Linked DNA regions of Macaca mulatta. Each later gene encodes a partner of the first gene's protein in a complex. Links are inferred from orthologs where the notes say so. Each region holds a gene or a part of one and is shown on either strand. Other genes may lie near its edges.

Region 1 (5,843 bases):
ATACAAAAAATTAGCTGGGCATGGTGGTGGGCACCTGTAACCCCAGCTACTTGGGAGGCTCAGGCAGGAGAACTGCTTGAACCTGGGAAGCAGAGGTTGCAGTGAGCCGAGATCACGCCACCGCACTCCAGCCTGGGTGACAGTGCGAGACTCAGTCTCAAAAAAAAAAAAAAAAAAAAGTGGCGGGGCATGGTGACTCACGCTTGTAGTCCCAGGTACTCAGGAGACTGAGGCGGGGGGGATCCCTTGAGACTAGGAGTGTGAAACTGCAATGAACCATGATTGTACCACTGCATGCCAGCCAGGGCAAGAAAGCAAGACCCTGTCTCTTTAAGTAAAAAGTGACATGAATAACTTGCCAATTACTAAGTAATGCTATGTTGTGCATCCAAATTATGTCAATGAAAAACTAGTGCTGAAGGTTCTTTAAATAGCCTAAGTAGATGTCTGGGAGGCCATAAACTGAATTCTTTTTTTTTTTTTTTTTTTTGAGACGGAGTCTCGCTCTGCCGCCCAGGCTGGAGTGCAGTGGCCGGATCTCAGCTCACTGCACGCTCCGCCTCCCGGGTTCACGCCATTCTCCTGCCTCAGCCTCCCGAGTAGTTGGGACTACAGGCGCCCGCCACCGCGCCCGGCTAGTTTTTTGTATTTTTTAGTAGAGACGGGGTTTCACCGTGTTAGCCAGGATGGTCTCGATCTCCTGACCTCGTGATCCGCCCGTCTCGGCCTCCCAAAGTGCTGGGATTACAGGCTTGAGCCACCGCGCCCGGCCGATAAACTGAATTCTTGATGTTTGCTCCTCAAGGATAGCTGGGTTTGAAATTCTATATCAAAGGTTATTTTTCCATTTATAATGTTAAGATATTACTCCATTGTCTTCTGTACCCTTGTGTAATGAGATGACTGGCCAGGTGCCGTGGCTCATGCCTGTAATCCCAGCACTTTGGGAGGCCGAGGCAGGTGGATCACCTGAGGTTGGGAGTTCGAGACCAGCCTGACCAACATGGAGAAACCCCGTCTTTACTAAAAATACAAAATTAGCTGGGCATGGTGGCGCATGCCTGTAATTTTTAATAGAGACACGGTTTCACCATGTTGACCAGGCTGGTCTCCAGCTCCTAGCCTCAAGTGATCCACCTGTCTTGGCTTTCATCCTTAATGTTCTATAGTTTTGTTACTGTTGGGTTCTTTTGGTGGTTTTTTGTTTTTTTTAATTTTTCTTCTGAGACGGAGTTTCACTCTTGTTGCCCAGGCTGGAGTGCAATGGCACGATCTCGGCTCACCGCAACCCCCGCCTCCTGGGTTCAAGCAATTCTCCTGCCTCAGCCTCCCGAGTGGCTGGGATTACAGGCATGCGGCACCACACCTGGCTAATTTTGTATTTTTAGTAGAGACGGGGTTTCTCCATGTTGGTCAGGCTGGTCTCGAACTCCCGACCTCAGGTGATCCGCCCGCCTCGGCCTCCCAAAGTGCTGGGATTACAGGCATGAGCCACTGCGCCAGGCCTGTAGTTTATTTTTTTATCCTGCTTGTTATTCAGAGCACACTTTAAAGATCCTTGTCTACAGTTCTGAAAAACTTCAAGCCATTTCCTTTTCAAATATTTGAAAACTGTTCCATAAAATTAATTCTTTCTGGAATAAATTTCTAGTCCAACTTTTAATTCGGCTGTAAGAATTTAAGTGTTGTATTTCTTTTTTTTTTTTTTTTTTTTTTTTTGAGACGGAGTCTCGCTCTGTCGCCCAGACTGGAGCATCTTTAGCATGCAAGTTGGTCATAAATGATAAGAAGGAAAAAAAATAATATAGCATGCGAGGTGGTCATAAACGACAAGGAGAAAAAATAAGGTGGAGAAGGGGAATGGGGAGTGCTGGCAATTTAGATAGAATGTGCACGAAAGGCTTCACTGGGAAATTCTGATTTGAACAAAAACGCACAAAACGTGAGGAAAGCCTAGGAACACAGCACCCGTATTCTTGGGCGTAGAGAAGTTAAGGATGAGGAACAGGAACCAAGAACAAATCCCAGCGTAAGGCTCCGTTTAAGCGTGGCTCCCTACAAGCGAGGCCGCCGGTCTGTAAACAAGCGACTGCCGCTGCAACCTCCATTTTGCTTCCTGGCACCAAATCTAGGCTGATTATTCACTGCCATCCCTTTCCCACTTCCGGTTTCCTTTCCTCTTCTCTCCTCTCCTCTCCTCTCCATCTCCTCTCTCTTCTCTTCTTTTTTTTCCCCTCGAGACAGAGTCTTGCTCTGTAGCACAGGCTGGAGTGCAGTGGCGCGATCTCGGCTCACTGCAACCTCGGCCTCCTGGGTCCACGCGATTCTCCTGCCTCAGCCTCCCGAGTAGCCGGGATTACGGGCGCGCGCCACCACGCCCGGCTAATTTTTTGTATTTTTAGTAGAGACGGGGGTTTCACCGTGTTGGCCAGGCTAGTCTTGAACTCCTGACCTCGTGATCCGCCCGCCTCGGCCTTCCAAAGTACTAGCATTACAGGCGTGAGCCACCACTCCCGGCCCTGGGTGCTGGTTTTCTTCACCTCCGAGTGAACAGCAGAGGGGTCTGTTGGGTGAGGGCCAGACGAGTTGGGGAGGAATCAGGGCGTCCAGCGCTGCCCTCACTCAAGATGGCGGCCAGAGCCTGGCGCTTCGTCGCGTGGAGCGGCGCTTGCGTGCTTAGCTCACAGGCTCCGGCACCGCGCTCGGGGGAGGGACTATAGTGGGAAGGGGACGCGCGCCTTGCGGCCCGGGCTCTAGTCATCGCCCTCGCCGCGGCGGCCAACACCAGCGCTCCTGCCACCCCTCCCAGACTGTGGACGGGAGGATGGAGTCGATGGCTGTCGCTACCGACGGCGGGGAGAGGCCGGGGGTCCCAGCGGGCTCAGGCCTGTCGGCCTCCCAGCGTCGAGCCGAGCTGCGTCGGAGGAAGCTGCTCATGAACTCCGAACAGCGCATCAACCGGATCATGGGCTTTCACAGGCCCGGGAGCGGCGCGGGTAAGAGCCTCGATTTCCCCTCTGTCTCCCGCCTCTCCCCTTGAATCTTCAGGGTCATTCTTCCCTCTCCCACCTCCACTCCACTGACCTTTTTGACCAAGCCCTGCTCTTTGACTTCCTCTCTGTCCCGCCCCTTCGGTTATATCCCAAGTTCTCATTCCTGAACCCCAGGATGTTCCCCAGTCGCTCCCCTCAAATTTTCCTGGAGCCTCGCTGTGAGATTTTCCCCACCCTGCCTGCAGAGCCCTCGCTGTCTCTGCCCAGTTACGTTAACAGCCCCTTTTTTCCTTAGCCACTTCTCGTCTTGAAGGGCGCACGTTGTATCCCCAGACTGTCGTGTCCACTGCTCCCCTTAGGAAGATGGCTTTCCTTGTTAAGGTTCCAAGTGCTTTTCCTTACAGTGCCTTCTGTAGCGTCTACCTTCTTTTGCCTTTTGCTGTGTAACTCTTGTCCGCCCACGTCAGCCTGTCTTTACGGAACTGCCCGCTAGTTCGTCCTACGTGTATCAGGGACTCTGTGGTCATATTCTAGTGTCTGTGTTCAGTGCCCTCAACACTTGTCACCTACGGGCCGGCAAGAAAAGTTGGGAAAAGTGAGAGTGAGCATTCTTCAGAGACCCAGCAAGTGCGACGTGCACCTGAGAGTTTCCTCTCCTCACCAGGGGAGATCGATGTCATTGATGTCTGGAACTGCATTTCTAAAGGAGAGCACCTCATTCCTCCCCCAAACATATATCCAATGATTTTATTTAAAAAAAATTTATTTCACGTGAGTATAACTGAACAATTAGCACGCCCTAGTGTTTTTCCACTGTTTCCTTTAGTAATTGGTCTTTAGTCAGTGCTCGCAAGCTCCTTAGATCTTTGTGACTTTTGTTCTGGAAGGCTTTAGGTGTATAGCTCTGCATTTTTAGATAGTTCAAATGAGAGGTAAGAAAAACATTTCAAATTCTTCTAGAACACTAGAAGAAACATTTTTCTATCAGGCTACTTATTCTTAAAGCATTATTTACGATCTTACCCGAGGTACTTTCTTTTTTTCTTTTTTCTTTTTGTTTTTGAGACGAAGTCTCGCTCTGTTGCCCAGGCTGGAGTGCAGTGGTGCGATCTCCGCTCACTGCAAGCTCCGCCTCCTGGGTTCAAGCAATTCTCCTGCCTCAGCCTCCTGAGTAGCTGGGAGTACAGGCACGTGCCACCACGCCCGGATAATTTTTTGTATTTTTATTAGAGACGGAGTTTCACCATGTTGGCCAGGCTGGTCTCAATCTCCTGACCTCGTGATCCGCCTGCCTCGGCCTCCCAAAGTGGTGGGATTACAGGCTTGAGCCACCGCGCCCAGCCGGTACTTTCTATATTTTGTTCTTTTGCTTTGAAAATTTTATGTCTTTAAAGGTTTTGTTTTTTGAGACAATGTCTCCCTCTGTATCCTTGGCTGGAGTGCAGTGGCATGATCATAGCTTACTGCAGCCTCAAACTCCTGGGCTTAAGCAATCCTGCTACCTCAGCCTCCAGAGTAGCTAGGACCACAGGCGTACACCACAATGCCCGGCTAATTAAAAAAAAAAATTGTGTGTGTGGAGATGGGGGTCTCACTATGTTGCCTAAGCTGGTCTTGAACTTCTGGGCTCAAGTGATCCACCAGCCTTTGCTTCCAAAAGTGCTGGGCTTACAGGATTACAGGTGTGAGCCATTGTGCCTGGCCTTTTTTAAAACAAAAAACAAAAACAAAAAAAAACACACCAGAGTAGCATCTTAAAACTGCTGAATTACCTACTAATGGTTGTCTGACCACATAAACAGTAGCTGTGGGATATGCCACACCCTATGCTCATAGGGCACTGGATTCACAAATCTAATTTTAAAATACAGATTTTAAAATGCCTTACTGATTTTATATTTTTAACCAAATAAGCTAAGGCAGGCAATGCAATCATACATCTGGGATATATTATCCATAAAAAGTTGGTCTTTTCAGTTTGCTCAATCTCTGAATATCTTTCCTAGTTGGTCTACTAATCTTATCTCCTACCCATAAAGTTTGAGTTATTTCCTCTGCAGAATACTCATTTTGGGTGATATATTTTGAGGGTGTAGAGGAAGAAACCAACTTTTTTTTTTTTTTTTTGGAGACGGAGTCTCGCTCTGTCGCCAGGCAGATGCAGACGGAGTGCAGTGGCGCAATCTCGGCTCATGGCAACCTCTGCCTCCCGGTTTCAAGCGATTCTCCTGCCTCAGCCAGAGTAGCTGGGACTACAGACAGCTGGGACTGCAGGCACATGCCACCACACCCAGCTAATTTTTGTATTTTTAGTAGTGACGGAGTTTCACCATGTTGGCTAGGATAGTCTCAATCTCTTGACCTCATGATGCGCCCACCTCAGCCTCCCAAAGTGTTGGGATTACAGGCGTGAGCCACTGTGCCTGGCCGAAACCAGCTTTTCTTTAATGCAGAATCAATATTTATTTATTTTGATTCAGAGACTGCTGAGTTCTAGCTGCAACAGCATATTTTAAAACATAAACATGTAAGGTGTTTGCCAGTATGTAATAAATACATAAGGCTTTTAAATTTCTTTTCTCAGAAGAAGAAAGTCAAACAAAATCAAAGCAGCAGGACAGTGATAAACTGAACTCCCTCAGCGTTCCTTCAGTTTCAAAACGAGTAGTGCTGGGTGATTCAGTCAGTACAGGAACAACTGACCAGCAGGGTGGTGTGGCCGAGGTAAAGGGGACCCAACTGGGAGACAAATTGGACTCTTTCATTAAACCACCTGAGTGCAGTAATGATGTCAACCTTGAGCTCCGGCAGCGGAACAGAGGGGACTTGACAGCGGACTCAGTCCAGAGG
Region 2 (5,999 bases), on another chromosome or scaffold:
GTTTGCATACACCTGCTGTCTGCAGCTCACAGTGGAACAACACCTATTTTTAGTTATTAGTCTTCTTCTTTTCTTTTTTTGAGATGGAGTCTCACTCTGTCACCAGGCTGGAGTGCAATGGTGCCACCTTGGCTCCCTGCAACCTCCACCTCCTGGGTTCAAGCGATTGTCTTGCCTCAGCCTCTTGAGTAGCTGGGATTACAGGCATGCGCCATGCGCCACCACGCCCAACTAATTTTTGTATTTTTAGGAGAGGTGGGCTTTCACCAAGTTGGTCAGGCTGGTTTTGAACTCCTGACCTCAGGTGATCTACCCACCTTGGCCTCCCAAAATGCTGGGATTACAGGCGTGAACCACTGTGCTTGGCCTGTCATCACTTTTCAAGAGGCAGTTTCTCCTCCTAAATCCATCTCAATCTCCAGTGACAGAGAAGCCAGGAGCCCGGCTGCCATGCTGCGTGGTCCATCCAGGTGGAAGGGAAGGCCATGGAGGAGAGCCAGGCTCCTGCTCTTTGTTTTGTTCAGAAGTCACTTACTAACCAAGAAGTCCTTTCAGGGAAAGGATTCACTCTACTCCTACAGAATAGCCTTGTTTCACATGTTTTCTTTTTCTTTTTTTTTGAGACGGAGTCTTGCTCTGTCGCCCAGGCTGGATCACATGTTTTCTTGAACAGAAATTTGTAGAACTGGCTGTGCGCGGTGGCTCAAGCCTGTAATCCCAGCACTTTGGGAGGCCGAGACAGGCTGATCACGAGGTCAGGAGATCGAGACCATCCTGGCTAACACGGTGAAACCCCGTCTCTACTAAAAAAAATACAAAAAACTAGCCGGGCGAGGTGGCAGTCGCCCGTAGTCCCGGCTACTCAGGAGGCTGAGGCAGGAGAATGGCGTAAACCCAGGAGGCGGAGCTTGCAATGAGCTGAGATCCGGCCACTGCACTCCAGCCTGGGCGACAGAGCGAGACTCCGTCTCAAAAAAAAAAGAAAAAGAAAAAGAAAAAGAAATTTGTAGAACCACAGCCTCTTGCATAATTTTTTTTTTTTTTTTTTTTTTTTAAAGACAGAGTTTCACTCTTGTCGCCCAGGCTGGAGTGCAGCGGCATGATCTCAGCCAACCTCCGCCTCCCAGGTTAAAGCGATTCTCCTGCCTCGGCCTCCTGAGTAGCTGGGACTACAGGCGCCCGCCACCACATCCAGCTAATTTTTGTATTTTTAGTAGAGACAGGGTTTTGCCTTGTTGGTCAGGCTGGTGTCGAACTCCTGACCTTAGGTGATCCACCCGCCTCGGCCTCCCAAAGTGCTGGGATTACAGGCTTGAGTCACTGCACCCAGCTGCAAAATTATTTTAATTGGTTCATAATAATGAGCCAGAGTTGTACTCTGTCGCCCAGGCTGGAGCACAGTGGTGTGATCACAGCTCACTGCAGCCTCGACCTCCTGGGCTCAGGCGATCCTCTCATCTCAGCCTCCCTAATAGCTGGGGCCACAGGCACGTGCCACAATGCCCGGCTAATATTTATATTCTACTGTAAAGATGGGGTCGCACTATGTTACCTAGACTGGTTTCAAACTCCTGGGCCCGTGATCCACCTTGCTTGGATCTCCCAAAGTGCTGGGATTACAGGCATGAGCCAGTGTACCCGCAATCTTGCATCATTTTGATTAGGAATTAGTCCTCAGAAACCAGCCATGGCAGCATGGCAGAAGAGACAGCTGAACATGTCTTGCTTTATCCACTATGTATACTTTTTTTTTTTTTTTCTTGAGACGGAGTCCCACTCTGTCGCTGGAGCTGGAGTACTAGTGGCACGATCTTGGCTCACTGCAACCTCCGCCTGCCGGGTTCAAGCGATTCTCCTGCCTCAGCCTCCTGAGTAGCTGGGACTACAGGCGCGCGCCACCACGCCCAACTAATTTTTGTATCATAGAGACGGGGTTTCACCATGTTGGCCAAGCTGGTTTCGATCTCTCGACCTCGTGACCCGCCCGCCTCGGGCTCCCAAAATGCTGGGATTACTGGCGTGAGCCACCACGCTCTGCCCACTGATGCATACATTTGATTTGGGATTCTTTTGCGGCAAAACCTGATCCTCACCTAGATTCAGGTTACTTTATTAGCTACTACTAATGATTGTGAACAGTGCATTCTAATAAACTTATTTTTACAGGTATGCAATTGTGTAAATTGGTTAGACTTACTACAGTGTTTAGTTCTGGAACGAAAACGTAAGGCATTTTCCGCATACCTGCTTGGAACACGACAGCTACCTGCTACTATACTTACGGTAGTTTTTTATTTATGGAAGAGTTTATCTTAAACTTATCTAGAATTAAAAGTTAAAGAAAGTACTAATTATGACAAAAGCAGGGAGTCGTTAGCACTTGAAACCAGAATTTGGTACTATGAGAAGGTTTTCAATTTTAAAAAGAAGGAAAAAAAGAAACACGGACGCCAGGAAAACTGGTTGAGTAGGGGTGGGGGCGGGTGCGAGAAGGCTACGGAATCCCCGAAGGCCCAGGAGGAACCTGGAACATGTCAACCGCTCCAACTGGAGCGGGTGGTAAAAACGGCCCCGCCTCCTGCGAGGGCGACGCAGTGCGCAGGCGCGCTGGGCTTCACCCGCGCAGGCGCAGTCGCCTCTGCTGGCGTGGTCCCCATGGAGCTGCCGTAGCGAACCCAGTACAGCCAGGAGTATCCGGGATGAGCTCAGCCGCGGCCGACCACTGGGCGTGGTTGCTGGTGCTCAGCTTCGTGTTTGGGTGCAATGTTCTTAGGATCCTCCTCCCGTCCTTCTCATCCTTCGTAAGTGGCTGCCTGGCCTCCCAAGGGCCGGTGGGGATGCCGCCCCAGTCCCCTGGCGGGTCTGGGAGTAGGTACAGGGGTCTCAACTGGGCGACTGAAGCCCAGATTCAGCCCGTAGTAGCGTCTTGGTTGGTCTGTAAGCTTTTTTGAGATAGTTGGTAGCGTCTAAAAGGTGCGCCGCTTTACCCCAGAATCAGACTTTCTGGGTTCTAGGGGGGTGGGGGGAGAAACATCCGGCAACCCTGGGCCACGCTTTCACGGGACAGGAATCTTCTAGCTGTGGGTGGCGGCGGCGAACCTCACATTGGGAGTTCCTGGTGCCCCGCTGCCAGCCTCACCCGTTTCCGTTAATCCTGGTCCCTAGAGGCATTTGAGCAGCCCTCACCCAGGGTTTTCCCAGAGGCCTGGCGGGCGAAGTCCGCTGTTCCAGGTCCCGGAGAGATGGATCCTAGCGTCCAGGAGCCCACATTCTTGGGATGGGTAGGGTGGGAGACAGGTGCAGAGAGAATCTCAGTACAGCGTGATGCCTTCAATATCCAAGGGAGCAACCAGCTTGGGGAGCACTCTTTCTGCCAGGTAGTGAGTACATTACCTCCCTGTCACGGCTGCTGGGAGAGACGAGTTATTATCCCATCCTCCTTTACCTCCCGGAGGAGTCTGGCTCAGAGAATTTAGTAGTGGCGCTAAGTCATCCCGCTAGTGACTGGAGGTGGAGATTTGATTGCCTGTTGGAGCAGGGATAGGGATAGGGATTTGGTGGCAAATTGAACAGGGCGTGGTGGGGTGTGGTCATGGGAGGTGGGGGTACTTTGGGAACTGTCCCCGGGAATGAGCGCCCTCTGTATGCCCACAGCAGGAATGAGGAGCTGTTGGGCACAGACGGAGACCTCAAAGATTGTGCGCATGCGTTGTAGCATTGTCTTGGAAAACAGTTCTTGCTTTTCTCTCCTAAGATAAATTGGTAATAGTGGAGTATATTTTATTCCACCAGTATTCATTGAGTGCCTGTTTTGTGCAAAACTATTCTTACTCTCTCCGTTGTCCTACTGTCTGCATTGTCCTGGAGATACAGGAAATTCTCTTTTAACCCCTGAGTCTCCTTCAGAATCTTTCCTGATGCTATCCAGTCTTTTTAAGATGATGTCTCAGGTCCTTAGCATTGCATAAAAGACTCCTGATGAGCTGGCCCATGCTCATCTTCTTTTTCTTTTTCTTTTTTTTTTTGAGAAGGAGTCTTGCTCTGTCGCCCGAGCTGGACTGCAGTGGCCGGATCTCAGCTCACTGCAAGCTCCGCCTCCCGGGTTTACGCCATTCTCCTGCCTCAGCCTCCCGAGTAGCTGGGACTACAGGCGCCCGCCACCTCGCCCGGCTAGTTTTTTGTATTTTTTAGTAGAGACGGGGTTTCACCGTATTAGCCAGGATGGTCTCGATCTCCTGACCTCGTGATCCGCCCGTCTCGGCCTCCCAAAGTGCTGGGATTACAGGCGTGAGCCACCGCGCCCGGCCTCATCTTCTTAATTGTAAAATCTACATAATATGAATTTATCATCTTTATCATTTTTAGGTGTACAGTTCAGTGGCATTAAGTACATTCACATTTTTGTGCAACCGTTATCCCAGAACTTTATTATTATTTTTTAAAGACAGGGTCTGGCTCTGTGCAGTGGCACAATCTCAGCTCATTGCAACCTCTGCCTCTCAGGTTCAAGGGATCCTCCCACCTCAGCCTCCCAAGTAGCTGGGACCACAGGCATGCACCACCATGCCCAGCTATTTTTTTGTATTTTTTGTAGAGACAGAGCTTTGCCATGTTGGCCAGGCTGGTCTCAAACTCCAGACCTCAAGCCATCCGCCCAACTTTGCCTCCCAAAGTGCTGGGATTACAGGTGTGAACCACTGCACCTGGCCCCGCTCCCAGAACTTTTTCTTTTTTCTTTTTTGGAACAGAGTCTCAATCTGTTGCCTATGCTGGAGTGTAGTGGCCTGATCTTGGCTCACTGCAGCCTCCGCCTTCCAGGTTCAAGCGATTCTCCTGCCTCAGCCTCCCAAGTAGCTGTGATTACAGGCACCTGCCACCATGCCTGGCTAATTTTTGTATTTTTAGTAGAGATGGGGTCTCACTATGTTGCCCAGGCTAGTCTCAAACTCCTGACCTCAAGTCATCTGCCCTCCTTGGCCTCCCAAAGTGCTAGTATTACAGGCATGTGCCACCATGCCCGGCCCCATATCACAACCTTTTTATCTCCTCTGACTGAAACTCTCGCACCCATTAAACAACTCTCCATTCCTGCCTCTCCCTGGCAACCTCCATTGTACTTTCTGTCTCTGTGAATTTGACTGCTCTTGGGACCTATGTCATATAAGTGGAATCAGACAGTATTTATCCTTTTGTGACTGGCTGCTTTTCACTCAGCATAATATCCTTAAGGTTCATCCATGTTGTAGCATGAGTCGGGATTTCCTTCCCTTTTAAGGCTGAATAGTATCCCATTATATGTATAGGCCACATTTTGTTTATTCATCCATCTGTCTATGGACACTTGCGTTGTTTCTACCTTTTGACTGTTGTAGATAATGCTAAAATGTTTACAGATACCTCTTTGAGTCTCTGCTTTCAGTTTTTCTGGACATATACCCAGAAGTGGAATTCCTGGATCTATGGTAATTCTATGTTGAATGTTTTTGAGAAACCACCATGCTGTTTTCCATAGCAGCCACACCATTCGACATTCCCACCAGCAATGCAGAAGGGTTCCAGTTGCTCCACATCCTTCAACACGTATTTTGTTTTCTTATTTATTATTTTTATTTATTATTTTTATTTTATTTATTTTTTTGAGATGGAGTCTTGCTCTTGTCACCCAGGCTGGAGTGCAATGGTGCAATCTCGGCTCAGTGCAACCTCTGCCCCTCGGGTTCAAGAGATTCTCCTGCCTCAGCTTCCCAAGTAGCTGGGATTACAGGTGCCCGCCACCATGCCTGGTTAATTTTTGTATTTTTAGTAGAGATGAGGTTTCACCATGTTGGCCAGGCTGGTCTTGAACTCCTGACCTCCAGTGATCCACCGGCCTTGGCCTCCCAAAGTGCTGGGATTACAGGCCTGAGCCACCGCCCCCAGCTTATTTTTATTTTTTTGAGAGGGAGTCTCTCTCTGTCACCCAGGCTGGAGTGCAGTGGCTCAATCTTGGCTCACCTCCA

The links. The genes of interacting proteins can lie anywhere in the genome.
Region 2: CAMLG (region 1) and GET1 share a complex: the UniProt entries of both Homo sapiens proteins name them as parts of the golgi to ER traffic (GET) complex. The link is inferred for Macaca mulatta from reciprocal best matches to the Homo sapiens genes CAMLG and GET1.

The regions. Positions count from the first base shown.
Region 1 is NC_133411.1:143,652,488-143,658,330, forward strand, and holds the start of CAMLG (guided entry of tail-anchored proteins factor CAMLG), read left to right. Parts: upstream 1-2,225; 5' UTR 2,226-2,585; intron 2,586-2,638; 5' UTR 2,639-2,824; coding exon 2,825-2,996; intron 2,997-5,577; coding exon 5,578-5,843. UniProt on the Homo sapiens protein: Required for the post-translational delivery of tail-anchored (TA) proteins to the endoplasmic reticulum.
Region 2 is NC_133408.1:8,063,264-8,069,262, reverse strand, and holds the start of GET1 (guided entry of tail-anchored proteins factor 1), read left to right. Parts: upstream 1-2,646; 5' UTR 2,647-2,699; coding exon 2,700-2,801; intron 2,802-5,999. UniProt on the Homo sapiens protein: Required for the post-translational delivery of tail-anchored (TA) proteins to the endoplasmic reticulum (ER).